Linked DNA regions of Rattus norvegicus. The protein of the gene in region 2 purifies or fractionates together with the protein of the main gene of each other region. This does not show direct contact. Links are inferred from orthologs where the notes say so. Each region holds a gene or a part of one and is shown on either strand. Other genes may lie near its edges.

Region 1 (4,366 bases), on a different chromosome or scaffold from region 2:
AGACTTTTCTTAAAACACGAGCAAAAAACTGCTGGAAGCTTGATATGATAGGTCATGTACTTGGGAAAGCAGAGATAAAACCAGTACAAGTTCATCAGCCAGAGCTAAATCTCTGCCTCAAGAAAATCTTTTAATTGTTTTAAAGAATAATAGAAGAATATGTTTATGACCTAAAATTAAAAGGCCTGTGTGTGCTCAATACAAAAAGGGACCAGGTATGGTGGTACAGTCCTGTAATCCCAACTACTCAGGAAAACTAAGGCAGGATCATGCATTCAAGTGACCAGAGTAAGAGGGCCTTGACTGTAAGAAAAAGTATGTTTAGGGAGAAAATATTTTGCATGCACTACTTATATAGATAAATATTAATATATATTAATTATAACACACACACAGTAAAAATACGTCTGGAGGGCTGGAGAGACGTGACTCAGTGGTTGAGAGCAGTAACTGCTCTTGCAGAAGACCTTGGCTGGGTTCCTGGCACCTCAACAGCAACTCACCACTGTCTCTAACTCCAGCTCCAGGAGATTCAGTATTCTCTGGATTCCATGGACACTAGGCATGCATGTAGTATACACGAGTGCATGTAGGCCAAACACAACGTGACAGGGTTCCCCCCCCCCTTTTGTTGTTTTTCATTGGTTGGTTGGGGTTTTTTTGTTTGTTTGTTTGTTTTTGAGACATGGTTTCTCTGTGTAGTCATGGCTGTTCTAGAACTTGCTCTGTAGACCAGGCTGACCTTAGACTTAGAGAGATCCACCTGGCTCTGCCGCAGAGATGTGTGTCCCCACACCTGACTGAGGCAGGTTCTCTGTGTAGCCCGGACTTCCTGGAGCCCACTTCTCTGCTCTCTGCAAAGCTTGCCAGGCTTGCCCTGCACTTACAAGATCACCTGTCTCTAGGAACTGGCTCTGTAGACCAGACTGGGTTTAAACTCATAAGATATCCACCTGCTTCTGCCTCCAGAGTTGTGAGATTAAAGGCATGTGCCACAATGCCTAGCTAATTTTTTTTTAACTTGAAAACTTGTAAAGTGTTAAAACAACAACAACAACAACAAAATAAAAATTCCAAAATGTAACAAATCAGCTAGTAGGCAAGTGCCAAATGCTGTAGAGAGATGAAGAGAAAAATAAGTATAGCAAAGTGCCCTTACAGAAAATTCAGGTTATGTTTCTTGTTTTTGGCCAATCACAGAGCAACAATCAGACTCTGTTACTTTAGTAGTGGGGCTTTGATCTTCTTCCCACACCAACCAGCAACAGATTTCATTTGTGTTTTTTGTCCATGGAACATCATGATGCCTGACACCCAAGGACTTGAATTAGAGTCCTGGTGGCTCTGGCTGGCTGATCCAGAAAAACCTATTGAGTTGGGCCAGAAGTGGGTTACTTTGTAGTTGTAACAAAGATAATGGTTTCTTTTTTCTTGTGCTCTTTAGTAGAAAGATGGAGTATTGTCCGCTACCCAAGTGATATGCTGTGTTTATGTACCTAAATGCCTTTTAAAAAAAGAGGAAACATCTAGAAAGAAAGAGTTTAGACCTCTTTCATCCCTTCCTTGGAATTGGGAAAGATGGAAAGAGGGGAAGAGGAAGGGGATGGAGGCACGTGATCTTCTGCTCTGTTTCAGATAACTGACTGTGTGTTAAAACAGAATAATTGCTCTGCTGCCACTCACTTGCCTTTCTTATTCACAGGTATGGATCTTGGAGGGAGCCTGTCAACCCCTACTATGTCAACTCTGGCTATGCCCTGGCCCCAGCCACCAGTGCCAATGACAGTGAGCAGCAGAGCCTGTCCAGTGATGCTGACACTCTATCCCTCACGGACAGTAGCGTGTAAGTCCCATGCGTGCTTGCTGTGTGCTTCAGTGTTCTCTGCTGATCTAACAGGCTGCTCCTTACTGATTGATGCTCTCAGAGCTTGACTGAGTTGTTCCTAAGGAACAGACATGAAGCTGGCCACGGCAGAATATATTTGTAACGCCAGCACTGGGGAAGCTGAAGCAGCCTTGCCATGAGTGCCAGGTCAACCTGGGCCAAGAATGAGACTGTGTCAAAACACAAACCCTAAAAATAATGACAGACTGCCCTATAAGTGCTTATTCTTCAAAACCTAGCCCAAGGGCCAAGGTGTAATTCAGTGGAGGTCCTGGTTCAGTCCCCAGCACAATAGCAACAAAAGCGGTTTAAAAATCCTGGAACAGAATCCAACCTACAGATGAAGTTTGTATTAGCTGACAGTCTTGGAGGCCGCAGCTTCCTGCTGCTTTTAAGAGTAGTGGACTCAGAGTTACAGCTGCCTGTAAGAAACTTGCGGTTTGTTTTCTCCTAGCTATAGAATGGGGATTTCAGTGAGAAGACAGACACAGGGAACAATCAGACCAGGCGGTCTTCTCTCCTGGGAGCCATCAGTCTGCATAAATGGGTTTCTTGCCTGTGTTGTTCTTCCCTGCATCTTTTTATGATACAGACTCTTGATAGATCATGAATGGTCTGGATCAGCTGGGGAGCCTGCGTTCTGTACTAAGACTAGTTCCCTGAGAGCCTAAGTTCCAAGCTATGGAGGCAGATCTTTCCCTCCACATCCCTGATATGATCACAATTAGGAACTTGTTTTGTCTTGTGTGGTCACATTCCCAAAAGCCCTTGTAGGGTGGACCTGTCCTATGAACCCCTTCCTGTGGGTGGCTTTTTGGAGCCTTGGTGACTATTAAATAATTAAACTAAATAATTGAGTGGCATAAAACATTTTGTTGAATTGACCATCCAGACCCAAGGTTCCTGGGGTTCTGACTTGGTCATGTTTGGGCTGAGCTTAACCCCATGCCTGTGCTTCCTCCAATCCTAGTGTTGCTCTAGCTTGTGCTCATTACTTGTGATCAGAGCCAAGTCTTCCAATTGCTAGATGGCTCTTAATTCATGACTGCATAGGGTCCCCAAAAGGGTTCTTGGCCCAGTTCAGCAGTTCTGCCCTGATTTAAAATTTCATTTTTTAAAAATTTATTTTGGGGGTTGGGGATTTAGCTCAGTGGTAGAGCGCTCACCTAGCAAGTGCAAGGCCCTGGGTTCGGTCCCCAGCTCTGAAAAAAAGAGAAGAAAAAAAAATTTATTTTGGCTCACACCTTGTAATCCCAGCACTTGGGAGACAAAGGCAGGTGGATCTCTGAGTTTAAGGCCAGCCTGGTCTGCCCAGTGAGTTCCAGGACAGTCTGAGCTATATAGTAAGACTCTGTCTTAAAATACATACATACATACATACATACATACATACATACATACATACATACATACATACATTTTGTTTCTACATGTATGTATTTGTGCCATGTGTGTCTGGTACTCTTGAGGGCAGATCAGAATGTCATATCTTCTGGACGTGGAGTTCTATATAACCACTGTGTGGAAGCTGGGTCCTCTGGAAGGGCTCTTAAACCACAGGGCTGATTCCACAGCCCCCTAAATTTTTTAAAAAATTTATTGTGAAGTAAAAAAGAGTATATAAGTGCATGTGTGTGCCATAGCACATGTGAAGGTCAGAGGGCAACTCTAGGGAGTTGGTTCTCTGCTGTCCCTTGTGGTTTTTAGGGATTGAATTTAGGTCATCAAGCCTATGGTGCTCCAAAGGGCCTCTACCTACTTGCTGACACTGAATCTGGAGATCCTGATTCAGTAAAACTAACTGACCAATGAGCACCAGAGACTGTTCAACACTAGGATTATAGGTATATACTACCATGCCCAGATTTGTTTTGTTTTTTTAAGTAGATGCTGGGGTGTAAGCACTTCACATCTAAGCCATCTTATCTGCTCAGCCACCTTATGGCTTAATTAGTAAGGGGGAGAATATTCCCTAAATATTTTAGACAGGAAACCAGCTGGGCAAACTTCAAAACTTTTCGTTTCCATGTCTGATGTCAAACTGGTCTTTAGCTCTCCAGTTCCTTTTTCATGTTTGTTGACTGTAACAAACTTCTTTCTCCTGGGCTGGTTGCACTCTCTGTTAGCAGCTTTCCTCAGCAGACACAGCTCATGGCTCTGGCATCTCAAACATCTTGGGGTCTCCAAGGCAACTTCAATGTTACAACTTTTTTTTTTTCTTTTTTCTTTTTTTCGGAGCTGGGGACCGAACCCAGGGCCTTGGGCTTGGTAGGCAAGGGCTCTACCACTGAGCTAAATCCCCAGTCCACAACTTCTTGTTTCAATGTCTGGGATCCACACATGATCTTCTGGGCTCCTCCAAAAGACTGGTGCTCTGCTCTCTGTAGCACACTAAGCTCAGGTTGACCCACTCCACTGCTGCTGCTGTTCTTGGTGATCATCCCATGGTACTGGCATCTCGGATATGCTAGGGTCTTCCAC
Region 2 (4,366 bases):
GATCAAAGATCCTTGAGTTTGGTTTCATGCTTAACCCTGCCCATCTCTTCCCACAGTGCAAAGCAGTTGGTTCGGGGGGAGCCCAACGTGTCCTACATCTGTTCTCGGTACTACCGTGCTCCGGAGCTCATCTTTGGAGCCACAGATTACACCTCGTCCATCGGTCAGTTAGGGGAGGGGCTGGGGAGTGACAGGCTTGGCGATTAGGCCCTGCCTGCCTTCTGTCCTTGACTGGTCCTCCCAGGCTGAGGCTGGAACTGCCGCATCTCTTTAGAGCAGCTAAACAGTAGAAAGGACAGAGCACTGCTCAGGACAGGGCTGGGACTCCATATCTGACTTGGCTCCAGAGTCCACCTCCACTTAGAGACTCCCAGTGAGCCTCTGTTCTCAGTTCGAGGGAAGGGGTGGGCAGTAAGTAGCATAAGGGCATGGCCTGCTCTCAGGGCCTGTCCTTTCTGTTTCCGAGCATGGCATTACCCTCTTCCAAGCTTGAGGGGAAGGCTGAGATGGGAGTGTGTACATGGAAGGAAGGGTTGAAGGAGGATGTCAGTCAGTCTGAGGAGCTGGTGAGGTCCTCAGGTGTGAACTTGTACCAGTGCAGGTCAAGGTACAGAGCAGGGAGGGGTGAGCAGGCCAGAGGCCAGGTGGTAACAGCTAGTTCAGGATAGGTGGTTTCCTTCTGGCCCAGAGCACGCATGTGCCAGTTGGCAGGGCCAGGCCTTGTGCCAGTCCAGAAAAGTAAAGAATGTTCAAAGGATTCCTCGGGATCACTCACCAAGGGCATGAGGATGTGAGCGTATCTGGACTGGAGAGCACATCTGGGCCAGGCACCTTCTGTGAGACAGCGCTGCTGCAGTGCCTCTGGGATAGCTGTGAGAAGCGGTGTTGGTGAAGGGGTCGGCTTGCTGGCCTTGGCCGTCTAGTGCTTACCTCCATTCTTCCTTCCCCTTCAGATGTGTGGTCAGCTGGCTGTGTACTGGCTGAGCTGCTTCTTGGCCAGCCCATCTTCCCTGGGGACAGTGGGGTAGACCAGCTTGTGGAGATCATCAAGGTGAGGACGGGGCAGGGCCAGGGCGAGGGAAAGCAGGGGTGGGCTAAGGAAAGGGCCTTTGTTTCAAACCCTCACTGTCCTTTCCAGGTACTAGGGACGCCAACCAGGGAGCAAATCCGAGAGATGAACCCTAACTACACAGAATTCAAGTTCCCCCAGATCAAAGCTCACCCCTGGACAAAGGTAGGGGCAGAAATACGGGCTTGCATGGCATGGCTGAAGGTTGGATCCCCTTGTAGACCAACTGCTCTGGAGACCTGGTTTAAAAACCATGGTTTGAGGGGTTGGGGATTTAGCTCAGTGGTAGAGCGCATGCCTAGCAAGCACAAGGCCCTGGGTTCGGTCCCCAGCTCTGAAAAAAAATAAAATAAAATAAAAACCATGGTTTGCAGAGCTGGAGAGCTGGCCCAGAGGCCAAGGGCACTTGTTACCCTTACACAGGGCCTGGGTTTGGGTTCCAGCACTCACAGCCACCTGTAAGCCAGTTTCAGGGGATCCTTACAGGCATGCATGTGTTAACACAAATGTGCACAAGCAAAGCTTTCATATACATAGGTAAACATTGAAAAATAGAAATATGGTGGGGGTAGTCTCTGAAGTTATCCAGGGAGGCAGTCAACACTTTGAGATTGTGAAGTTTATAGAATTTTAAAAATTGAGAACTCAGAGGTAAATACAAGATTCCCATTTATATGGTGGCACGTACGCATTAGGACTCACAAGTCATGGACCCTGAGCCAGCACCCATCTCATTGTGTCGGTCTCCTTACCAGGGAGGTGGGTGTCTGGGAAGCAGGCTGCCACAGGGGAGCACATGACACGGTGTCACAGCACCTCGCCCCTCTGCATTAACCCACAGGTGTTCAAATCTCGGACACCACCTGAGGCCATCGCACTCTGCTCTAGCCTGCTGGAGTACACTCCATCCTCAAGGCTCTCCCCACTAGAGGCCTGTGCCCACAGTTTCTTTGATGAACTGCGGAGTCTCGGAACCCAGCTCCCCAACAACCGCCCGCTTCCCCCCCTCTTCAACTTCAGTCCTGGTGGTGAGCATAGCTGGGGCCAGTGGAGGTGTTGGGGATGTGGAGAGGCTTGGTGTTGAACAAGACTGGGGAGCTAAGAGGGTACAAGGTGGTCCTGGGCTCAGCTAGGTGTCTCCACATTGTGGCTGCATACCAGGCCTTTTCTACTTTTCCACCTAAGAGTCCTGTGGCTAAAGATTCCTCCACCTGGCCTTGCCAGTATCTGGGTCCTTGTTTGGTTCCTCATCCTAACCTTAACTGGCTTTCCATAGCCTTGCCTCTCCTTAACTGGGGATGTCAATTTTGTCTCTAGAACTTTCCATCCAACCGTCTCTCAATGCCATTCTCATCCCTCCTCACTTGAGGTCCCCATCAGGCCCTGCTACCCTCACCTCGTCCTCACAAGGTAAGCTGGGGAACATGTGTAGAGGGGTCGAGCGGGGGTTGTTCTTGGCTTCTAGCATTTTCTGTGGGTTCTGAGCTGTTGACATCTGACAGCATAAGAGGCATATTTTACAGTATGTCAGCAACCAGCTTTATAGGGTGATATTGCCCACAGTTGTGTTTAAATGCCAGCTGGAAGTCCAAACATTTCTTTGGTCTGAACAAATAAACAAAAAGTTGCCCACATTTAAAGATTGGGCCATTCTGGGTAAAAACCCAGATTTCCTGTTTCTTAGGGGAAAGAAGGTCAGGCTTGGCAGCCATGGGTCTGCCCTTCTCCTGACAGCAGCTGGAGCTGTTTCCAGTGCCCCTTCCCTCCATGGAGCCTGGCTCCTTGTTAAGCCACTTCAGTGTCAAGCTGGTCCTTTGGCATCAGTTTGTAACCCTGAGCCCAGAGTGACAGCTGTCACTCTTGCATAGTGTTCTGAAGCAAGTTATTCTCGTGGGCATGGGGTGTGATGCAAAGGCCAACTGTCCCTCCTTCCCTCTCCTCCTTCAGCTTTAACTGAGACTCAGACTGGCCAAGACTGGCAGGCACCTGATGCCACACCTACCCTCACTAACTCTTCCTGAGGGCCCTACCGACTACCCCTCCACGTCCATCTGGGAAGGCTCAAGTGGGGCTGGGAAGGGGGCCATAGCCCATCCAGCTCCTGCCCTGGCTGGGCCCCTAGACTGAGGGCAGAGGTAAATGAACTACCCAGCATCTAGGCCTCCCTCACCAGCCTCACCTTTGTGGTGGGCTTTTTAAAGAGGATTTTAACTGTTTGTGGGGGAGGGAAGGGAAGAGAAGGACGGACGGGGTTTGGGGGTATGAGGACCTTCTACCCCCGTGGTCCCCTCCCCTCCCCCAGGCTACCACTCCTCCCCCCCCCCCTCCCATGTCCCTTGTAAATAGAACCAGCCCAGCCCGTATCCTCTTCCTGGCCCCTTGGGTGTAAATAGATTGTTATAATTTTTTTCTTAAAGAAAACGTCGATTCACACCATCCAACCTGCCCTCCCCCTCAGCTGTACCCCCCTCTTGTCCTCTGCTCCCAAGGCTTCCTCCCTCTCCCCATCCCAAGGAGGGGAGTAGGGAGAGCCCCTGGTGTCTTAGTTTCCACAGTAAGGTTTGCCTGTGTACAGACCTCCGTTCAATAAATTATTGGCATGAAACCCTTCTTCCTGTCTGGCTGCCTATTTCCACAGAGGTGGGGGTTCAGGGTTTGGAATGAGTTCCACCTCAGTTAGGGGGACTTGTCAACCACAGATGTGGAGCCCACCCATTTCCTGGCACAAACTATCTGTCAGTGGCAGAAATGATGCACACCTGGGCGCTCAGTGCAAGACCTGGGGGGACGAGTCTCAGGCTGCACATCTAATTGCCTGTAGACTTGGTGGCACAGGTATATATGTGCATAGGCAGATTCCCAAGGCTTAAGGTACCCTGTCTGAAGCATGGGACCCACTTGCTTTACTTCTTAGGGGGTATTGGGAAGTGGCAACCTTGGGAAGGTGGAGGTTGAGAGTTTAGCCTTTCTTCTCTCCCTCTCTGGTTTTGAGCTGGTCTTCGGTATAGCTCAGGCTCGTCTGGAACTCAAGATCATCTTGCCTTAGGATCCCAAACACTGCGATTACAGGCTTGTGCCACTCTGCCTGGCTGTTCCCCTTGACTTTTAAAATACACTGGAGCCAGATGGCGGGGACCATGGGCAGAAGGAAATGCTGTCTCTACATGGTGCCAAGCAGTGAGTGGGCAGGACGCTCCAGAAAGGGAGGGGACCTGGGACGGAGCAACTTTGGGTCCTCTTGATAGATTCTACTGATGCAGAAAAAGTAATTTTTGAACATATCCTTGAGGGGAGTCC

The links. The genes of interacting proteins can lie anywhere in the genome.
Region 1: the proteins of Gsk3a (region 2) and Axin1 purify together in Homo sapiens (affinity purification with mass spectrometry; 12 studies listed by BioGRID and IntAct, with this or other methods). This does not show direct contact. The link is inferred for Rattus norvegicus from reciprocal best matches to the Homo sapiens genes GSK3A and AXIN1.

The regions. Positions count from the first base shown.
Region 1 is NC_086028.1:15,698,637-15,703,002, forward strand, and holds part of Axin1 (axin-1), read left to right. Parts: intron 1-1,702; coding exon 1,703-1,843; intron 1,844-4,366. UniProt on the Homo sapiens protein: Component of the beta-catenin destruction complex required for regulating CTNNB1 levels through phosphorylation and ubiquitination, and modulating Wnt-signaling.
Region 2 is NC_086019.1:89,942,977-89,947,342, reverse strand, and holds the end of Gsk3a (glycogen synthase kinase-3 alpha), read left to right. Parts: intron 1-56; coding exon 57-163; intron 164-953; coding exon 954-1,051; intron 1,052-1,138; coding exon 1,139-1,234; intron 1,235-1,673; exon of another isoform or gene 1,674-1,910; coding exon 1,911-2,097; exon of another isoform or gene 2,098-2,386; coding exon 2,387-2,479; exon of another isoform or gene 2,480-3,016; coding exon 3,017-3,090; 3' UTR 3,091-3,674; downstream 3,675-4,366. UniProt on the Homo sapiens protein: Constitutively active protein kinase that acts as a negative regulator in the hormonal control of glucose homeostasis, Wnt signaling and regulation of transcription factors and microtubules, by phosphorylating and inactivating glycogen synthase (GYS1 or GYS2), CTNNB1/beta-catenin, APC and AXIN1.